Arabidopsis thaliana: one gene and its partners. The protein of the gene in region 1 purifies or fractionates together with the protein of each later gene. This does not show direct contact. Each region holds a gene or a part of one and is shown on either strand. Other genes may lie near its edges.

Region 1 (7,111 bases):
CCAAGTACATCAGGGAAAACATCATACGCCTCATCTTCCATCAAATGCTCGTTAATATAGTTCAAAATATGGTCGTCTGTGTCTTTATCCTCCATGGTAATTTCTTGGGAATCAATTGATAAAGGTTGAGGCATAACCGATTCAGGAATAACATAGTCGAATTTGATCATTTTTGAACCGTATGTACCACCATTATTAACTGCATAAGCTGGAGCTTCACATGCATGTTGTCCGACATAGGTGTTTCTGTACACTGGAGGATTGTCTTGGATCTTCTGTACCCGCTTGGTAGCGTCGCAGTTTTGGTCTTTCGCATAGGCACATCGGTAGTACCACCTGTAAATTTTACTCTACAATTAGTCATCGCTCAATACACACTCTAGAAAATAGCTCTGTATTTGTGAAAAGAGAGCAGTAGCTATGTCTTTCTAATCTACTTAATTAACTAACCTTTGGTGCGGAGAGGTTTTGATGGTCTTTTGTCCATATTTCCTCCAGATGAAGCCATCAATGTGGGCCGGTGTCGGAGAATCTTCCATACCTTGTATTCCACACATCTTTCTGCAATGTTGTATCAGAGCAATGTTCACTAGGATACTTGCATCGAAAGTGGTAGAAGAAATAGAGTAACATAGACCAAAACAGGTGTGTGTTTTCTACTTGATTTAGAGTTTTTAATAATTTACTTCTTTGATGATCTTTGAGACACATGACGTGGTATGTTCTGAGAAGACAGAGCAAACGAGAAAGAATCAAGAATGGAGTTGATGAGTGGCTCTGTTGAAACTGAGCCTGTTTCATGGTTTTTGAGGAGCGTCTTGAGATTGTTAGCGCATCCTTGGCCAAGGAGGAGTGCTGAGACAGCCTTCGCATCAATCTCAAGAGACATATTTTCTGTTTAGGATAATTCAGGTTAATCTGTTATTAGTTTATATAGAGATCAGCAAAGGTTTCTACTTCTAGAGACATAAAACATTGTTTTCTTTTTAAAAAAAGAAAGTGGAAAGTGTAGCCTTATCGAATAAACTATCCACAAAATGTGTAAAGTGTAAACGCAATAAAAGTAACTTGGCGCCATCAATGTTGACATTTGGTAATTCACAAACGTGTGACGAGACGACGTAGTTGGAAGGTCTTGTGCGATTGTTAGCCTTTAAACAATCAATAACATTAACAAGTTAAGGGACACTTCAAAGTAGCCAGACAGCTTGAGGTCAAGTCTAACTAAGGAAGGCACCTTCCTCTCACCTAATCCAACAGACTAATTATATTTAATACACATCTTGGTCTGTTGGACATGAATCCCATGGAATATCTCTAGGTAGTTATTAACCTGGATATAGAAGCTGGGTGCATAAATCATTGGATCATGCTTTTTGATGAATAGTGAACCATAGGACTTGTTTCTACAGAAGAACTTAGGAACTTGGTATTATATAGTGTAGCTGAAACTGAAAGCTACAAGATTTGAATAAGTAAGTTCTACATATACACTAACACAGTCATACATACATGTGTGTGTGCGTCAATGTGTGATCCCATAAGTTCCGCTTTGTAGCATTACAATTTTGGTCTTCCGTAGAAGCCGCAACGATTGTAACACCTCGCAATTCATGATTATCAATAATTTCAGCTAATAACCATGTATTAGGCAAGTGTCCGCCACAAAAACAGAGAAGAACAATAACTCTGTTCGTTAACGTTAGCCATAAAACAGACCGTAACAAATAGCGAAGCAGAGCATGTGCTCTGTTTTTTTGCTTTGTACTCATTACTAACCTTATAGGAAATCTTCTCTTGCTACACCTGTTTATTTTCATCAATGCTAATACTATATTACATACCAAAACCCTACCCCTGCAACAGTAAAGAACTCCTAATGGCATTATTAACACAGACATAGTGAGAAATCATCCTAAGACCCTCAAAAATCAATCATCTGTAATTAATTAACAGAACTAAACGCCAAAATTCTCGACATTAGTTCAGGATCGCCTAAGGCCCTAATTATCATTTTTTAAATTAGACCCCTAAGATTCTTGGTTGCGACCAATGCATACACTGCCGATAAATTGGATTCACGTCTTTCCAATGCTGGTTCGTTGGATACTCTACCAATATTTCTATCACCGTTATCATCTATGTGCTCTGATTCCTCACGCAGCTCATAACCAGCATGCTATAACGCAAGACGGAAACAATCGCGATAGAGACGTCATCGAACCAACCATGGAAATTATACAAGTATTTAGATTGAACAATTAGTTCATCAAGTTTTGTGTCAAATTTTATTTCTTTTCAATTGTGCAGAGCATCTTTACCGGTACACTTGAGGCTAATTTAAGACAAGATCGAATATAAAACATTAGCTCTTCTTCAACACCACATCATTTCTCTTCCAAGAACTTCAATCAAGCGCAGTCAAATTTTGAGACATGATCTCAACCGCACGTTCGATTTCCTCCTCTGATATAACCAACGGAGGAACAATCCTGACGACATTTCCTTTCCCCGCTGTCAAGATCAGAAGACCCGAATCTCGGCAAGCATCAACCAGTGAGCTTGCCGGCACATCGAGCTCCACTCCTATGATAAGCCCTTCGCCTCTCACTTCCTTCACGTGCGAGTTTCCTCCAAGTTTTTTCACCAACAGGTCTCTAAAGTATCGACCTTTATTTGAGACACTGGACAAGAAAGAGGGTTTCGATACTTTATCCATAACTGCAATGGCTGCACTGCACACAAGAGGGCTGCCTGCAAATGTACTTCCATGATCTCCGTAGTTTATGGTCTCTGCAACCTTTTCAGTCACCAGCACCGCTCCAATAGGTAAACCACCAGCTAAAGGCTTTGCAACCGTCATTATGTCAGGAGTCACACCGAAGGCTTCATAAGCCCACATGAGACCCGTTCGACCCAAACCACATTGAACCTGGGACAATGAACCCAGTTGAGGCAAGACCAATCAAAAAACAGAAACAAAGAAAGAAAATAAAATTTTGGATGGACGGTAGAGTATATTACCTCATCGAAGACGAGAAGAGATCCAGCGGCATCACAAGCAGAGCGCAGAGATTGCAGAAACTCTTTTGTAGCAGAGTAAATCCCGCCTTCTCCTTGAATTGGTTCCACAAAAACTGCAGCTATTTTACCTGAGCGGATAAGGTCTGTGGCTGCTTGAATGTTACCATATTCTAAGAAGGTTACACCAGGCATGATGGGTTCGAAAGGAGTTCTGTATTGTTCTTTGCTTGTCAAGGCAAGAGCTCCTAAGGTTCTTCCATGGAAGCTGTTTGTAAAGGCGATGAAACCTGTCGCGACTTCTTTGTCTTCTGGATGGGTGAATCTCTGGAATTTTCTTGAAAACTTAATGGCTGCTTCATTGGCTTCCGTTCCCGAGTTACAAAAGAATACACGGTCTGCAAAAGAACTCGCCACCAAGCGTTTTGCGAGCTCTATCTGCAGAGAAGTTCAAACATTTCAGATTTTAACAACCCATATGAAGTAGATATGAGCATAAAGGTTCCTTTTTTCGAGGAATTGGGCATTGAGGAGCATATGTACACTAAGAGTTTACAATGAGGTCAGATACTTCTCATAAAAATTTCTATAGGGAAGGCGTAGAAACAATCCAATTTGATGAAATTTCAAAGTGCAAGTACTTGTCATAGAATAATCTCGCTATTATAAGTAGAAGACTAATCCAACATTCCCTAGCATGTTTCCATAGGCCATAGCTCAATCACACAGAGGATAAAAACAACAAAAGTTTTAAGCTTTCGTCAGCCATCAACAGAATCAGTAATGCAAAAATACAGTAACGAATAAATACCTGAGGGATCGTGTAATAAACATTGCTGACATGGGCAAGAACACCAGCTTGCTCAGTGACAGCTCGAAGCCAATCAGGATCTCCATGACCAAGAGCATTCACAGCGATTCCAGATGCACAATCCAGATACTCTTTTCCTTCAGGGTCGAACAATTTACAACCTTTCCCACTCGAGAGAACCACTGGAGCTCGCGCGTAGGTACCCACAATAACTTTGGCTTCCTCTTCAATCACCTTCTGGCTCACACTCGCTTTTACCGACACCGCTTGGTCCCCTGCGTTAGTCAATACGCTCGCAATCCGGCCGTTGAATCCGATCCGGGTTCTGATGATCGGCCGCTCCAATCGACGGCGTAAGAGGCCAATCTCCGACGACGGCGCGCGTGGCAGGGTGATTTGGCTAAGAGACGCCATTTTCGTGTGTCGGGACAATAAAGAGTCGTTAAGACAAAATAGCTGAGATTAATTCTATTTCTAGGGTTTTAAGGCCAGTGATAATTTTACTACTACTGGTTTAGCTGAGCTTAATAAAGAATCTGATTAGTATCTTACTTTTTCCGTAATTACGTGTTTTTAGTATTAATGGTTTGAAATTTCTAAATTATTTATAACGATGAAAAAGAATGCAAGACTGCAGATATTTTTTAGTCCATCAATCATAATACAAAATATAGTAAAATGTTTGGAACGTGTTACACTGATTATAAATGTCGATGTAATACATCTTACCAGAGATAATAAGAAAGAACAAACAAAAAAAAAAAGGTGTACATCTATTATCTAAGTAGATAATTACATCTCATCCTAATAAAATGGGAGAAAGATAAGAATCATTTAGGAGATTGGCAGAACAAAAATCTTACTACCAGCTAAACTAGAAGATATTGTTAACACACTTAACCATAGTCTCGAACCACTTCACCTTCAGGCGAATCTTCTTCAGCTTCCACCGGGATATGGGTGAAGGATATATAGGATTAATCTACGTTCTTCATATTCATATAGTTACAGTTCAAAAAACATGTTTGTGGACGGAGGAGGTATAGTGGTATAGTGTTGTGTAATGGGAAAAACAAAAGAATGATATGCTTGTGGCTCGCCCGTTCAGCAGACAACTTCAGGGCTCGGGTCGTTATCTAGAGGCATGTTTAGGTCAGGGAGCAAGAAGGAAGAACCTTGTTCGAAAGTGAGTTTGCACGATAAGGCAGATTGTGATTCAGCCTGCATACACATGAAAATGATATACTTGAATAATTAACATGTTTATCTTCCGTATATATGATTGAATGAGTACATGTATAGAAAGATAGAGAGAGAGAGAGAGAGAGAGCGATGGGCTCACCTTCATCTTCTTTAGAGCAGTGTTTCTTGCTCTTTGTTGCTCGAGCAAATCGCGCATATTTGCCAATTCCTGATTCAAGAATAAGATTAACCAAATCTAAGATTAGAACTTGGACTTGATATATAGAGACATAAAGAAAGAGGCTAAAATGGAGGTTATACATTTTTCAGGCCGTTACTTTCCTTCAAGAGCATGATCTCTTCCTCTTTAAGCTCAGCCAAAGTCTGTCAACAATCATATATATTAATTAGAGAAATATAGGTTTGAATCGGCTAAAATGTAAAACCATATCAGTCCAAATGTAGAAAATATAAGATTGCTAGGCGTATCTTAGACAATATGCCTCAACAGATTTAAACAAACCAGTAGGTAGTAGCCTGGTCAGAGTTGCTCTATGTCTGGTCTAAAACTAGTAATATTATCTTTTAACAGTATCAGTAACTAATAGAAACACTGTCTTTCGTATTTTTTACCTTCTTCTTTCTTGATCTCTTGAAAAGGGTTGTTGTTGTTGTTGTTGTTATTGCACTCGTTTGAGAAATCTGGACATCAAAACAAAAACAATCAGATTATGGCTTAAGACACACAACACCACCAGATAAAGCCAGCTCAACAATCAATAATCACACCAAACTAATACCGTAAAAACAATTTGTTTTTGTATTGTATATCATTTCTATAAAGAAACCACACACCTACCATTCGAGAGAGACTTTAGAGGCACGATAAGTTGGAAACAAAAGAATCACTTCATCAGCATATTAACAAATAACAACTAGAACTTGGAAATCTAAAAGAAAATTCCAAATCATGTAAATTTCAGCAGTATCTTCTTGGTCAACTACTCAAAAAGAAAAAACAGAAGGGCAAATAAATAAATATATAGAAAAACATAGAAACACGTGAGTGGAGCGTGACTTGGGAGACTTTTAAATATAAAGCGTGTGTGTTTGGTCGTCACATTCACACGTCATGCTTTTCCTTGTCCTCCAACCCCAAACTAGTGTCACGTATTCTCCACACCACCACTTGTCCTTATTATCTATCATCTTTCTATTTTTATTTTATTCTACCCAAAAATTCCATTTCCTTTAGTTTGACGACTTTACTTTGGTTTTCAAATTATAACCCACCGATCAAAGTCAACTTCAAATCAGACAACAATCTTAACTAAACTTTGTAAAAAAAAAAGTAAAACAGGCTAACTCAACAAGACTGTCACCAAGAAAATCTGACGGACGAATCACAGGACCTAATCCGTTGCAACAACTGAGGACTTTGACCACTACTACTAGAGAACGAGTACATACTACTTATTGTCCACTGCGCCACATCTGATAACTGCTCTCCCCACTAAACCCTACCACACACGTACCTAATCCACTCATACTCTAATCTTAAATTCAATTCCACGAAAACGCCTCCCAAATTATAAATAACGCCAGCGATAATCTCTGGCATTGACTAATATACCCTCTATCGTGAGAAGCAGCTAACCTGGTGACAAGGGTTAATTTAGTCATTAGCTTGGTAATGATAATGAATGTGTTTATTTTTTCTCTTTAGCATTGAAGTCTACAACGCTGATTTGACCCAGAAGACCTCTCCCCTCTCCCTTGATGTGAGGGCTTTGTGGTCTTTCCGCAAAGCAGCATAGAGAGAGAGAGAGAAAGATGACTGAGATGCACAAAAGTGGGAAAACGTGACTCTTTTGTTGCCAAAAGAAAAGAGCAAAAAGCAGAGATCACCGAATTTATCACCTGTTTGTTTGAAACTCAAAAACAATCTAACAAGTGTTTCCAAGAAGACAACAAAAGAAATCGAGAAAGATAGATTGAGTTTCTTGGAAAAGAAAAGACTAAAAACATCATTGCCTAAATTGGAGTTGTGTCCACGCTGGGGGTATTTCGGTCAACGAAAAGTCGGTGTACCTACAT
Region 2 (7,458 bases), on another chromosome or scaffold:
CAAGAGAAAAGTCAGTGCCGCAAACTCGGCTTAAGGTTGTGACAGATAACTCACACACCAGTCTCTCCTCTGAAGTTCTTGCTAGTGCAAGTGAGTAACTTTTGACTCAAAATGTAGACTATTCCTGCTAGGAATTGTCTTTCAGGGATTTAATATCCTTGTATGATTTCGTCTTGCAGGGTTAATCTCTCAAACAGCAAAGCTAGGTGCACAGGGTGTGCCCTCATGCCGGTCCTTTTCTTTTGAAGATTTAAAGGAAGCCACAGACGATTTTGATTCATCACGTTTCTTAGGTGAAGGCTCCCTTGGAAAGGTATGGTTTGTCTTCTGCAAGATTAATTCTTGTGATCTGCCTATCTGTCATTTGCTTTACTCTGCTTGTTTTGATCCTTTGCAGCTATACAGAGGAACACTGGAAAATGGAAGTTCCATAGCTATCAGATGTCTGGTTTTATCAAGGAAATTCTCCAGCCAGAGTATCAGAGGTCACTTAGACTGGATGGCAAAGCTCAACCATCCTCATCTCCTTGGCTTCTTGGGCCATTGTACGCAAACCAGCGGAGAACACGATCCTGTTGCAACCATACTCTACCTTGTATACGAGTATATGCCCAACGGGAGCTATCGCACACATCTATCAGGTCAGTCGTTTGGCATTTGTAGTAAACTAAATGTTATACTGAATCTCTCTGTACTTGGAAAATCGTTGTTGTTAGAATATTGTTTATTTGTAGAATCTTTCTCGGAGAAGATCCTGACATGGCCAGATCGGCTAGCAATTCTGATTGAGATAGCAAAGGCAGTTCATTTTCTTCACACCGGTGTAATGCCTGGTTCATTCAACAATCAGCTTAAGACTAACAATATTTTGCTTGACGAACACAAGATTGCAAAGCTCAGTGACTATGGAGTCTCTGCCATCATTGAAGAGAACGAAAAGCTTGAGGTTTGCTCTATTTACTCTCTTTCACTGTGTTTATCTTCATTTTGTATGATCTTCTTTGACACTAACTCAGGACTCTACTTTACTCCTGCTTCTACATTTTGCAGACAAAGTCAGAAACCCACAAGTCAAAGTATGCATCTTTTGTCCTTGTATAGCAAAACTCCATGGCATTTATGAGAATCTAATCCAAACTTTGAGATTATGCAGGAAAAAGGCTAAAAGAGAGGACGATGTGTACAACTTCGGATTCATACTTCTGGAATCTCTGATAGGACCAGTGCCCACTACAAAAGGAGAGGCTTTTCTTCTCAACGAAATGGTAACAAAGAGAAAAAGCAAAAAAAAAAAGCATCATCATTGTTATTTGATTGAAACAAATTTGGTTAATAGCTGTTGCTGCAATGTTGTGTTTGCAGACATCATTTGGGAGCCAAGACGGTCGGCAGAAAATAGTAAGTCCAACAGTCCTAACAACAAGCTCGCAGGAGTCTTTATCGATTGCGATCTCAATCGCCAATAAATGTGTTTTGCTTGAACCTTCCGCAAGACCTTCCTTTGAAGATGTTCTCTGGAACTTACAATACGCAGCTCAAATGCAGTCTGCCGCAGACGCTGAACGCAAATCTGATACGTCGTCGTGAATCCAAAGGCTAACCTAATGATTGATAGTTTTTTCGGTTTTCTAAATGTAAAGCTCTATAAGTTTGGTTTTCAGTATAAAAATGTAAGACTCTTGAGACTAAAAATCATAGTAGCTTGTCTTCTCTTGAAACTTATTTCGTTAAACAAATATTGATTGAAGAAGATATTGAGTCTTGTAGTTGAAGAGAAATTCTCAATCTTCAAGAACAAGGTAAGTAAAGGCAGGAGACCTGTCAAATGTTTTTGGAGAATCTTGTCTTTGAATTGCAGAATCGATCCCAAATAATTTATTTATTATAAAAGGTACAATGTTGCATGGATTAGCATATAAGTGACCGTAAAACCAAGTGCTACACAAACTTTTTCAAGTGCTTCAAATCATCAATAAACTTAAACAGTAGCTGGAACTTTGGATTCCACTGATTTGAGAACCTCCTCACCCATTTCCTTGCATCCCACCAGTTTCTGCATTTTCAAAACACAAAAGACTTTTTTAAGTATTTTGTTACGAACTTGTACAAAACAAATGATAAGAATCATCATGCACATACATTTCCAGGGGAGTAGATGTCTCCGGTTCTGAACCCTTTGTTCAGAGCATCCACGACAGCGTCTTCAATCCTCTTTGCAGCCTTTTCTTCTCCAAGTCCATACTTCAGAAGCATCGCCGCGCTGAGAATGGTGGCCAATGGGTTTGCCTTGTCTTGTCCAGCTATATCTGGTGCTGAACCATGTATAGGTTCAAAGAGTCCAGGTCCCTGATTTCATCACAAGTTTAACATTTCGCATTAGTTTATAAACAGGAGGAGCCTTGAAAGATGTTAGTTAATTTTGTTTACCGATTCACCGAGACTAGCAGATGGAAGCATTCCAATGCTTCCAGTGATCATTGAAGCTTCATCAGACAATATATCACCAAAAATGTTATTGGTAACGATTGTGTCAAACTGCATTGTTTTAAAAACACCGTGAGTACTAGTTCCACTTCTGAGTTAGCTTAATCAACGACTAAGTTTGATATATGTGCGAGAAGCACCTGTTTCGGGTCACGAATAAGCTGCATTGCAGCATTATCGACATACATATGTGATAGTTCAACATCTGGATATTCAGAGGCTAAAGCTGTTACTCTTTTCCTCCACAATATTGATGCCTACATGAAACAAAGAAATTTGCATTTCGTAAAACACACAAAAGTGGAAAAACAATTCAGTGAACTAACAGAACGTACATCCAACACATTGGCTTTGTCAACAGAACAAAGTTTGCCACGCCTTTTCCTAGCAGTCTCGAATGCTACACGAGCAATTCTGTCAATCTGAAGAACATAAATCAATGCATTAATATCCATACATTGCCAATATTGTCACAGAGCACAGTGTGAAGGGTTATTACCTCGTGAGCAGCGTAGATCTCTGTACTAACGCCGACTTCTTCGCCATTTTCATTGATCGTAATGCCTCTTGGCTCTCCAAAGTAAATACCTCCTGTGAGCTCCCTAACAATCATCATATCAACACCTTCTGCTACTTCTTTCTTCAGTGTGGAAGCATCAACTAGCTGAACAAGCAAAACAGAAACATTTGAGTTTATTTACAACTAGAAGCAAAATTCAAGTGCTAAGCAAATCAAAACCGAAGATACCTGTGGCAAAACTGTAGCAGGTCTCAAATTAGCAAAGACTTTGAGATCTCTTCTAAGGTAAAACAGAGCCATCTCAGGTCTCAGATGTTTCTCATTCTTGTCCCATTTGTACCTGAACAATAATCATCCAAACCTCAAGATCAGAATAAATTTGGAAGCAGATTGCTAAAGAAACAGCACTCACACACATACCCTCCAATAGCTCCAAGAAGAATGGCATCAGATAGTTTTGCAGCCGTGAAAGTTTCCTCCGGCAATGGAACTCCAACCAAATCCAAGGCTGCTCCTCCGACAGGCATCTCCTTGAAATCAAACTCCAGTCCTGTGATACAAAAGCAAAGACACAATCATCTACTGGCTAAGCAAACACACTCGTTGTTTCCAAAAACCATTGAGAAAGAGAAAGAACCTTCGAGAGATCCAGCTTTCTGAAGCACATTCTTAGCAACAGAGATAACTTCTGGACCGATACCGTCTCCGGGAAGCAGAGCGATGTTATACCGTTTTTTCCCAGGTGAAGCGGCGGCGCACCTAATTCGATACGGCGCACGAAACTGATGATCGGTGAGAGAACTGTATTTCCCCGGGACGATCTTGATCGCATTCAGACTGATGTTCGTTTGCAAAAACGCCGCCATTTTTTTTGGGAGTTAGCAAATTTGAAATTGTGTCACAATAGTTATATAACATAAAGAGTTTGGTACTTAGATAGGTGTGCACGTTTTTTGAATTACGCCATTAAAGATTTGTTTTTTTAAATGGCTTAAATTATCCTTTTTACCTATAAACTGGCTCACCAGCTAAACCATGCCATTGCTTGTTTAGGAAAAGAAGAAGAAGAAGCGCCACTATAATTGGGCCTTTACCAAAGATTGGCCCATTTTAAAGTCGAAATATTGGGCCGCTCTTATAGCCCATCAAAGTACCAGGAGAAGTTCTTAAAAGTTAAAACGTAGTAGTAGAGGAACAATAACGGCTGATTATTTAATTTTATGATCGGATATTCGGATTTTGTCAAATCGTCTGGTTAGTCCAAGGATGAACACGAACTGTTTTTAACATAATACTTCTATAACAAAAATAAATTTAAAGTAACTAAATTAAAGCCTAAATGACCAAAGATTCTTAAATATTTGCAAAAAACAGAAACGAAAGGCGAGGCAAATCCACCACACCACGTGAGAGTTATGACCAATTTTTGATGTTTTCTGAATATGATACGTATCATAAAAAGTGTGTTCATACTTCATAGGGGATAGGGATAATAGTATAATACTATATTGTTGAAGTGTGGACACACAAATAATATGAAAGCAAGACTTTGTATATAAATTATTTGGAACATTGTGTACCCCCAAATTATTAATCATTATCCAAATTTAGCATGTCTCGAGGTTTTTTTTCTTTTTTTTGTATTTTTGACTACCGGACACTGTGTGCATGCAGGGTGTGAAACGAAAGCGTACCGATGTAGAATTTTTTTTTTTTTTTTCTTTCTTCTTTGAGTTCGAGAAGAAACAAGTAACGGAAACTGATGTCATAGTCCATTTATCCGTCCCTACAGCATCTACAATCGCCTTTAACAGTTTCTTCTTTCGTCCTATCTTCTTTTTATCACTCCACATTAAAACAAAATGATATTATTACAACATTTGTATGATTTTTTTAAATATATTTTTTGCTTATGAGTTATTATAGATCTCAGGAATTTAACATTTTTCTTTTCTTAATTTTGTTTAGATTGCCTTGCTAGTTGCTATTACTATTCACTCATTAAATTAATGTGTATATATAGGATATGAAATTGTCTCCATCAAGTTTTGTGTTTTATATATCTAGGCTGTGTAATCGATACAAATATACAAACCAGAGATCTTGTTTTTAAAAAAAATTAGTCAGCTCTTTTCTAGACTAAGCTATTGGATGTATCTCCTTTACTATTCTTTTCTTCACATTGAAAACATATGGAAGTACTTTTATTATCATGAGATCTTCTATTTTTTTTTTTCTCTTTTATAAAGATTATTTTCCATTCATCTCAGTTCCACGTATTATTTTAAATGTTTATCATAATAACCTCGCTCTCTCAAAAAAGTTAGAAATCATGGCATGGTCACACTGATCATCCCTCCACTTATATATAGAAACTTTAGTAAATGTTGTATCGACGATAGCAGTGGATGATTCACCACTTCTAGAAACTATTCATAAATGCTTGTCTTATTTTTTGTGCATGATTCAATTCTTAATTTATGTTTACACACCATAAATTGTTTTTTTTTCTAAATAAGTTTTTGTCTATCCATAGTTGCTAACGTGGTTTTGCATTTTTATAAATAGCTAATAATTCCATTTTCTATTATCTTATCCGTCACCCCTTCTCTCTATATAAAACCATTTTCACTTTCCTATAAACGTACGTGATAACCCCTATATATATCTCAATGGCCGGTTCGGTTATGGTTCCGTCCGTTTCAATCGGTTTAGCCTTATCTGTCTTAATCTTCTTCGCTCTTTCCCTCAAGACCCTTGAAGCTCGTGGAACCTTCGGCAGGCTTGCCGGACAGCCACCGCAGAGGACTGCTGCCGGCGGCATATGCGCTTCTTCTGTTCACATATTTGGTTACAAGTGCGAAGAACATGATGTACGTACGACATTCTTTTTTTTTCTATATAGCTATTGATGATGATTACTCATCGATATATTAACTGATAAAGCTGCTATTTTAATTGTTAAATTATGAAGGTGGTGACTCAAGATGGGTACATATTGAATATGCAAAGGATACCGGAAGGACGAGCCGGAGCCGTCGCCGGAGATGGGGGAAAGAGACAACCTGTCCTAATACAACATGGAATTCTTGTCGTAAGTTTTACTCTTCCTTACCTTTTTGCATCGCCTTAACCGTCAATTAACTTGTGTATACACACGCATGCTACTTTTATGTGCAGATAATTATTGTGATAATATCAAACTTTGTTCCAACATGCATGAAATACATCCAAACTACAAAGTCTATTATTAAAAACATATATAGCTGTAATTAAACCACTGCATCGCACTCGGAATATCTGATTACTACATTGAAGCTGTTTTCCATTACATAAATTTTTGAAAGTAAGAAAAAGTGGAAAGTGACGTCAAGGGATAGTGAGAAAAACATTATTAGGAGAACATTTTATACCCGTTTTCAGAAGTTATACAAATGGAGAATATGTGCATATATTATTTCAAGATGATTTACATCTATAAATAGACATATACACGTGGGCCAAAACCAAACGTGTATACTTCCAGTGGATGCCTCATCAACAAGTATGTACATACATATATATATATATATATATATATATATATATATATATATATGTACATTTATCCTTATATCGTATGTGCGTGCGAGTTTGAAACTTACAAGTAAGATTAATTAGATTAATGTCTGTATCTTTTTTTGATAAAGAATGTGCATATGTGTTATCTTAGTGGTGGTAAAATTAAAACATTAAATAAAGAGACAGCATGAGTGTTAAACATGTGTGTCCAACAAATAAAGTGATAATTGGAGCGTTACTAGAAAGGTAATTAAAATAAACTCAAGTGATAAACAACTTTTCTGGTATGGAAGAATGATTGTACCGTACGTAAGTGATATTATATAAATAACCGTGTCGACTCTCGACTCTGGTACTCATCGAATTCTTAAAAATCATCGATAAAGTGCATAAGTACAAAACTTGATGAGATCAGTACTACTATTTTCATCAGCCTGCTAGAAAGAAAATACTTTATGACTTGCCTTATGTTTTAAGTTTTATGTGGACAGAGACGACAGTCGTACGTATGCAGAATTGTAATTTGTCTCTTTGACAACATGGTCCTTTAATTTCTTATAGTTTACATTACTATGATAGTCAAATAATCATGAGTTAAATGTGCAGGATGGGATGTCATGGCTGTTGAATCCAGCGGATCAAAATCTGCCGTTGATTTTGGCGGATCAAGGATTCGATGTGTGGATGGGGAACACAAGAGGGACTAGATTCAGCAGAAGACACAAGTACCTTAACCCTTCTCAACGGGTCTGGTTCAGTGAACCACTGTTTTAACCAGTAGATTACGTATATATCTTTACTAAGGAAACTGATATTTAACATCGTTGGCACGTTGTGGACTTAGGCTTTCTGGAACTGGACGTGGGACGAGCTTGTGAGTTACGATCTGCCTG
Region 3 (7,001 bases), about 19 Mb from region 1:
TATTTTTCTTATGTTTTGCTCATTTATGTATATTTTGCTAGTTGAATTTTTTGTTCAAAATTTCCAGTATTTATAACATATTCAATTTTAAATTTAGCATTAATTTTTTAATAAATTTAATTTGATATTTTGAATTTGTTTAATTATTTTGTTTTTATATAATGATATAATGTGTGTTAAAAAAGTGGGTTTGACTCTATTAACAAAGAGATAAATATGGGCTTACAAAACAAAAGCCCAAACCCAACTAGTGAGTTACATCGTGAGATGAGACGGATTCACACCGGAAAAATCAGAGAGATTCCGATGAAATCTTGCGATCGGTTGGAGGAAGCGTTGTTGCAGTGCCACCGTCGGATGCCGGAAGGACCGGCAAGGAGATCCGGTTGCAGACATTTGAACAAGGCGTTTGCGGAGTGCGTGGTGGCGGAGGCTTGTCCGGAGGAATCAGAGGCGGTGAGGTCTCTTTGCTCTAGCGGCGGAACAAGCCTTAAGCGTAAACAGTGCGAATACGCTCAGCTTTCACTTTCTCTCTGTCTCTCTCGCCATCAGCGAGAGTTTGAGCAGCGTTAGATACGGTGGTTTTGTTGTTGTTGTCGGCGAAAGGTTATTTTGGATCTTGTGAGCTACGTAATTGGTAAAATTAGGGTTTTAAAATTCTGATTCTTTTTTCTGCATCTGTTGGAGATAGTAAGGATGGATATTTCTGGGAATTTGAATATGTTCATCATCAAATGGCAGAAGAATGATTTAAGGAAGGTTGTGAATTTTTGTTGAATCTGTAGTAATCCTTTATATGGTTTTGGTATAATGAATTGTGTAATCAAGAATCCGTTATTCAGATTTCTATAAGCTGCTCTGAACTGAAGCAGGAGCCATTGTGGTGGAATCATTTCCTTTTGTTAGCTACTTTCAAGTTTTGGCAGCTGTTGTTGGATTCAGAAATAAGGCTGTTTCTGTTTTTGTGTAAGATGTTAGATTCAATGAGGTTTCGAGTGTGATCAATCAACAGCCTCAGGTCTATTGGTTACTACCAGAAGTTTTGGTTGTTTGTCTCAGCTTCAGCATCTTGACTTGACGTTCAATCATCTGACTGGAACTTCATCTCGGTTCTTGTTCTCTTTGCCAAACATTAGTTACTTAGACTTTGCATCTAACAAGCTCAGTGGGAAGCTACAGCATAATCTGACCTGTGGAGGCAAACTTGGATTTGTCGAATAACAGATTAATTGGGACCCCTCCCCGTTTCTTTTCCATTATTGGCAGTCATGATCAGCATCAAGAATTCGTAATCGAAGAGGCTGAAACTGAGGGAAAACAGTTCCAAGGAAGAAAGATTGGGATTTTGGTTGCTGTCCTTGGTGGAGATGTATTTGTTCTTGTGTGTATAAACCGCTGCTCTTGCTGTTGTTCAAGAGAAAGGTCAGTGCCTCAAACTCGGCTTAAGGTTGTGACAGAGATAACTCACACACCAGTCTCTCCTCCGAAGTTCTTGCTAGTGCAAGTGAGTAACTTTGACTCAAATTGTAGACCTCCGCCTGGTGGCAATTGTCTTTCAGGAATTTAATATCCTTGTACGACTTCGTCTTGCAGGGTTAATCTCTCAAGCAGCAAAGCTAGGTGCACAAGGTGTGCCCTCATTCCGGTCATTTTCTTTTGAAGAGTTAAAGGAAGCCACAGACGATTTCGATTCATCACGTTTCTTAGCTTTGGAATTATGCAGGAAAATGGCTAAAACAGAGGGCGATGTGTACAACTTTGGATTCATACTTCTGGAATCTCTGATAGGACCAGTACCTACTACAAAAAGGAGAGGCCTATCTTCTCAACGAAATGGTATCATATAGGGTAAAGAAAAGAAGCAAATCTTCATCATTGTTAATAGCTGTTGCTGCAATGTTGTATTTGCAGACGTCATTTGGGAGCCAAGACTGTCGACAGAAAATAGGAAGTCCAACGGTCCTAACAACAAGCTCGCAGGAGTCTTTACCCAATTGCCATCTCAATCGCCAATAAATGTGTTTTGCTTGAACCTTCTGCAAGACTTCCTTTAAAGATGTTCTCTGGAACTTACCATATGCAGCTCAAATGCAGTCTGCCGCAGACGCTGAACGCAAATCTGATAAGTCGTCGTGAATCCAAAGGCTAACCTGATGATTGATAGTTGTTTTCGGATTTATAAATGTTATGTTTTATAAGTTTGGTTTTTCAGTAGAAAAATGTAATACTCTAGCGGCTAAAAAACATAGTTTCTTGTCTCTCTTGAAACTTTATTCGTTTAACAAATATTGATTGAAGAAGATGTTGAGTTTTGTAGTTGGCGAGAACTTCTCAATCTTCAAGAACAAGGTACTGAGGCAGGAGACTTGTCAAATGTTCTTGGAGAATTTTGTCTTTGAATTGCAGAATCGATCCCAAATATTTTATTATTATAAAAGCTACAAGAATACAGTTTCTAATACATGTATTAGCAAAAAAGTAACAGTAAAACCAAGGGCTACACACTTTTCTTAAACAGGAACTTTGGAGTCCACTGATTTGAGAACCTCCTCACCCATTTCCTTGCATCCCACCAGTTTCTGCATTTTCAAAACACAAAAAGACTTCTTTAAGTATATTGTCATTAACTTATACAAAACAAAAGACAGAAATCATCATACACATACATTTCCGGGGGAGTAGATGTCTCCGGTTCTGAAACCTTTGTTCAGAGCATCCACGACCGCGTCTTCAATCATCTTTGCAGCCTTTTCTTCTCCAAGTCCATACTTGAGAAGCATCGCCGCACTGAGAATGGTGGCCAATGGGTTTGCCTTGTCTTGTCCAGCTATATCTGGTGCTGAACCATGTATAGGTTCAAAGAGTCCAGGTCCCTAGTTTTCATCACAAGTTTAACAATCAATATATGATAATAATAAACAGAGGAACCTTGAAATATTAGATTTAGTCTTACTTACCGATTCACCAAGACTTGCAGATGGAAGCATCCCAATGCTACCAGTGATCATTGAAGCTTCATCAGACAATATATCACCAAAAATGTTATTGGTGACGATTGTGTCAAACTGCAATAATGTTTTTAAAAATGCCGTGAGTACTACAAGTTCCACTTCTGTGTTAGCTTAATCAACGGCTAAGCTTTATATATGCGCGAAGATCACCTGTTTCGGGTCACGGACAAGCTGCATCGCAGCATTATCGACATACATATGTGATAGTTCAACATCTGGATATTCAGAGGCTAAAGCTGTTACTCTTTTCCTCCACAATATTGATGCCTATACGAAACAAAACAAAAAAATAATTGTATAACGAAAAACACACAAGAGTGGAGTGGAAAAACAATTCAAAACATACATCCAAGACATTGGCTTTGTCAACAGAACACAGCTTGCCACGCCTTTTCCTAGCAGTCTCGAATGCAACACGAGCAATTCTGTCAATCTGAAGAAGATAAAGCAATGCATTAATACACATACATTGTCACAGAGCAGCAGATTGTGAAGAGTAAGTAGTACCTCGTGAGCAGCGTAGATCTCTGTATTAAAACCGACTTCTTCGCCATTTTCGTTGATCGTAATGCCTCTTGGCTCTCCAAAGTAAATACCTCCAGTGAGCTCCCTTACAATCATCATATCAACACCTTGTGCTACTTCTTTCTTCAGTGTGGAAGCATCAACTAGCTGAACAAGCAAAAACAGAAAAATTTGAGTATATTTACAACTAGAAAGCAAAGTGATAAGCAAATCAATACCTGTGGTAAAACTGTAGCAGGTCTCAAATTAGCAAAGACATTGAGATCTCTTCGAATGTTAAGCAGACCCATCTCAGGTCTCAGATGTTTCTCATTCTTGTCCCATTTGTACCTGAACAAAAAATCATCATAAAGAGAATAAATTTGCTGAAGAAACAACACACACACGCATTACACATACCCTCCGATAGCTCCAAGAAGAATGGCATCAGACTGTTTAGCAGCAGTGGAAGTTTCCTCCGGCAATGGAACTCCGACCAAATCCAAAGCTGCTCCGCCGAAAGGCATCTCCTGGAAATCAAACTCTAGTCCTTGGAGAAATCCAGCTTTCTGAAGCACATTCTTAGCAACAGATATAACTTCTGGACCGATACCATCGCCGGGAAGCAGAGTGATGTTATACCGTTTTTTCACCGGTGAAGCGGCGGCGCACCTAATTCGATACGGCGCACGAAACTTATGATCGGTGAGAGAACTGTATCTTCCCGGTATGATCTCCAGACGGATGTTAGTTTGCAAAAACGCCGCCATCTTTTTTTCGAGTTTAGGGCACCACCATCGGCAAAAACTAACCATTTGAGTATACTACAGAGACCGGTTATCTCTGGTTATTTGTTAACCTGATTTTGGTTCAATGTTCTCATTAATTTCAATTTTAAGTTCTATCAGCTTTTTGGACTCTCTCATGTCCACCATCCGTTCACTTGGCCGCGTTCATATAAACCAAAAACCGAACAACAACAAAAATTCGAAAATTCTCCGGCGACACCAACAATGGGAAGGTCTCTAATATTCTCTGGAAACATGTCATTGAGAATCTCTCACTTACCCAGATCATCTCTTCCGCTGCAAAACCCAATTTCAGGCCGGACAGTGAACAGAACTTTCCGATATCGGTGTACGAGGATTTTGTCTAATAGCTTCAAGTCCACAACGAGACTTCAAACCAAAGCTGTTCTGTCTGAGGTTTCTGATCAGACGCGATATCCCAGAATCGGCGCTAAAACCACCGGAACTATATCTCCGGCACACCTCCTTGAAGTCGTTGAACTCGCCGCTAAAACCGGCGCTGAGGTTCGAAATTTCATGTCTGTAGAATACAATATCTGAATTTATGTTTATTGGAAACAAAAACTCTTGATGAGACTTGAAATTGTGTTCAATGGTACTAGAATCAAGTTCTTGGGTTCGTAGGGCACAACTGCACAAGGAGAATAATAACAAAACTAACTTGAATTGAATCATCTGGTTTGTTAGGTGGTTATGGAAGCTGTAAATAAGCCAAGGAATATTACTTATAAAGGTCTCAGTGACTTAGTAACTGAGTAAGGACTTCTTCACCTTTTAAAATTGTTAGCTTGAGGTTTTAACTATGTTCATGTTGACTTGATTGGTTGAAGCTATTAAAGTTTTAGTACTTTTGATGAATTTGCAGTACTGATAAAGCAAGCGAGGCTGCTATTTTGGAAGTAGTGAAGAAGAATTTTAGTGATCATCTTATTCTTGGTGAAGAAGGAGGTATCATCGGCGATTCGTCTTCTGATTACCTCTGGTGCATTGATCCTCTAGGTTTAGCTCTCTTTACAAATCTCATTGCTTTCTTTTCATGTGTTTGTGTGGAATCTCTGAGATTTTTAGTATTAGTCTCTTAATTCCTTTATGCATAGATGGAACTACAAATTTTGCTCATGGATATCCCAGTTTTGCTGTTTCCGTCGGTGTTCTGTATCGTGGAAATCCCGCCGCTGCTTCTGTGGTAAATCCAATATATACTTGCACAAACCAGCTAATGCTTGTTAGTTCCTATTTGCTGATTCTTTGGTCAGTAGGATTAACAACAAAATCTCATCATGCAGGTAGAGTTTGTCGGTGGTCCGATGTGCTGGAACACTCGAACCTTTTCTGCAACTGCAGGTACTATGTGACAAGCTTATGTTTGGCTATATATCTAAATTTTGTCTAACTAGTTCACTTCTTAGGTGGTGGAGCATTGTGTAACGGGCAAAAAATTCATGTCAGTAAGACCGATGCTGTAAGTAACTTATCAAGAATCCAATTTTAAGTTTCGACATGGTGTGTTCAATGGTTTTGGTTTATTAGATATTTATTCGGGTTTGAATGAAGGTGGAGAGAGCACTTCTTATCACAGGGTTTGGTTATGAACATGATGATGCATGGAGCACTAACATGGAACTGTTCAAAGAGTTTACTGATGTGAGTCGGGGAGTGCGAAGACTCGGTGCTGCTGCAGTTGACATGTGTCATGTTGCACTTGGGATTGCGGAATCATATTGGGAGTACCGTTTAAAGCCATGGGACATGGCTGCTGGTGTTCTTGTAGTCTTCTTCATCCTTCTTGTTGTTTTTTTCTTACTAAAGTACTTAAGTTGTAGAGCTTAATCCATGTCAGAAAATGGACACAGATAGTTGAGGAAGCTGGAGGAGCTGTGACTCGGATGGACGGAGGGAAGTTTTCTGTGTTTGATAGGTCTGTTTTGGTCTCCAACGGCGTTCTTCACCCCAAGGTTTCATGAACTGTTCATACTTTTATCAATGCTTTTAATCTGTTGTGCTTAGAGATCAGGTCTCACATATTTTTTGTTTAATCGGTGTAGCTTCTGGAAAGAATTGCACCCGCAACTGAGAATTTGAAGTCGAAAGGAATCGATTTCTCGTTATGGTTCAAACCGGAAGATTATCATACAGAGCTTTAAGACTTGTTCAAGAAAGGTATATAAGATTACATTGTTATGATCTAAAGCTCTTATATTTGAACTGAAACGAGGTATAAGATTTGCGTTCGGATTATGAAAATCAATAATGATCATATTCCCCCTTACACTTCTTGAACAAAGGCTTCGTGGATCAACAGACCTGTCTTCCATCGTCCAGTCCACACCTCATACAGACCAAACTGAAGCTTAGTATCTTGGTTAAGCGCTGTGGGACTAACCAAGATTTCAAACAGGCCATCGGACTCGTCAGGTATATTGACGGGTTCTGATCCACCTTTCAGTATACCAAAGTTCTGGCTAACGGATTTGATTCTTTTCCACACTGTCTTGCCTTTCTTCCCGATTTTAGCAGACATGAAAACAGGGGCTTTGTCCCAACCGGTCGCATCCGGTTTAAACGAGATTTTAAAACCGATTCGATATGTTTTCCCGGGTTCAATCTTGTCGAATGAACCGGTTACTTCTAACCAACTCACCATCTTCAGCTCAGCAGGCATCCTAAAACCAACAAT

What was found.
Region 2: the proteins of WIN1 (region 1) and IMD1 fractionate together in Arabidopsis thaliana (co-fractionation; one large-scale study listed by BioGRID). This does not show direct contact.
Region 3: the proteins of WIN1 (region 1) and IMD3 fractionate together in Arabidopsis thaliana (co-fractionation; one large-scale study listed by BioGRID). This does not show direct contact.

Annotation. Positions count from the first base shown.
Region 1 is NC_003070.9:30,296,268-30,303,378, forward strand, and holds WIN1 (HOPW1-1-interacting 1), read right to left. Parts: upstream 4,392-7,111; 5' UTR 4,247-4,391; coding exon 3,833-4,246; intron 3,460-3,832; coding exon 3,025-3,459; intron 2,933-3,024; coding exon 2,408-2,932; 3' UTR 2,195-2,407; downstream 1-2,194. Other genes in the region: WRKY66 (WRKY DNA-binding protein 66), read right to left, coding at 1-336, 451-561, 687-889; AT1G80610 (uncharacterized protein), read right to left, coding at 4,937-5,053, 5,175-5,243, 5,336-5,398, 5,648-5,716.
Region 2 is NC_003076.8:4,572,632-4,580,089, reverse strand, and holds IMD1 (isopropylmalate dehydrogenase 1), read right to left. Parts: upstream 3,968-7,458; 5' UTR 3,871-3,967; coding exon 3,642-3,870; intron 3,555-3,641; coding exon 3,425-3,554; intron 3,345-3,424; coding exon 3,233-3,344; intron 3,149-3,232; coding exon 2,984-3,148; intron 2,907-2,983; coding exon 2,820-2,906; intron 2,742-2,819; coding exon 2,625-2,741; coding exon of another isoform or gene 2,623-2,624; intron 2,536-2,622; coding exon 2,428-2,535; intron 2,347-2,427; coding exon 2,140-2,346; coding exon of another isoform or gene 2,128-2,139; exon of another isoform or gene 2,054-2,127; coding exon 1,979-2,053; 3' UTR 1,688-1,978; downstream 1-1,687. Other genes in the region: AT5G14210 (Leucine-rich repeat protein kinase family protein), read left to right, coding at 1-90, 180-313, 398-946, 1,051-1,076, 1,154-1,265, 1,363-1,587; MPL1 (Myzus persicae-induced lipase 1), read left to right, coding at 5,677-5,877, 5,979-6,098, 7,172-7,312, 7,410-7,458. UniProt on the Arabidopsis thaliana protein: Involved in both glucosinolate and leucine biosynthesis; catalyzes the oxidative decarboxylation step in both leucine biosynthesis (primary metabolism) and methionine chain elongation of glucosinolates (specialized metabolism).
Region 3 is NC_003070.9:11,140,333-11,147,333, forward strand, and holds IMD3 (isopropylmalate dehydrogenase 3), read right to left. Parts: upstream 4,386-7,001; 5' UTR 4,331-4,385; coding exon 3,936-4,330; intron 3,867-3,935; coding exon 3,755-3,866; intron 3,684-3,754; coding exon 3,519-3,683; intron 3,445-3,518; coding exon 3,358-3,444; intron 3,279-3,357; coding exon 3,162-3,278; intron 3,066-3,161; coding exon 2,958-3,065; intron 2,874-2,957; coding exon 2,667-2,873; intron 2,580-2,666; coding exon 2,511-2,579; 3' UTR 2,129-2,510; downstream 1-2,128. Other genes in the region: AT1G31175 (cytochrome C oxidase biogenesis Cmc1-like protein), read left to right, coding at 217-573; IMPL1 (myo-inositol monophosphatase like 1), read left to right, coding at 4,529-4,828, 5,012-5,079, 5,190-5,323, 5,422-5,510, 5,611-5,668, 5,734-5,786, 5,879-6,091, 6,178-6,279 and 1 more; PP2-A9 (phloem protein 2-A9), read right to left, coding at 6,591-6,986.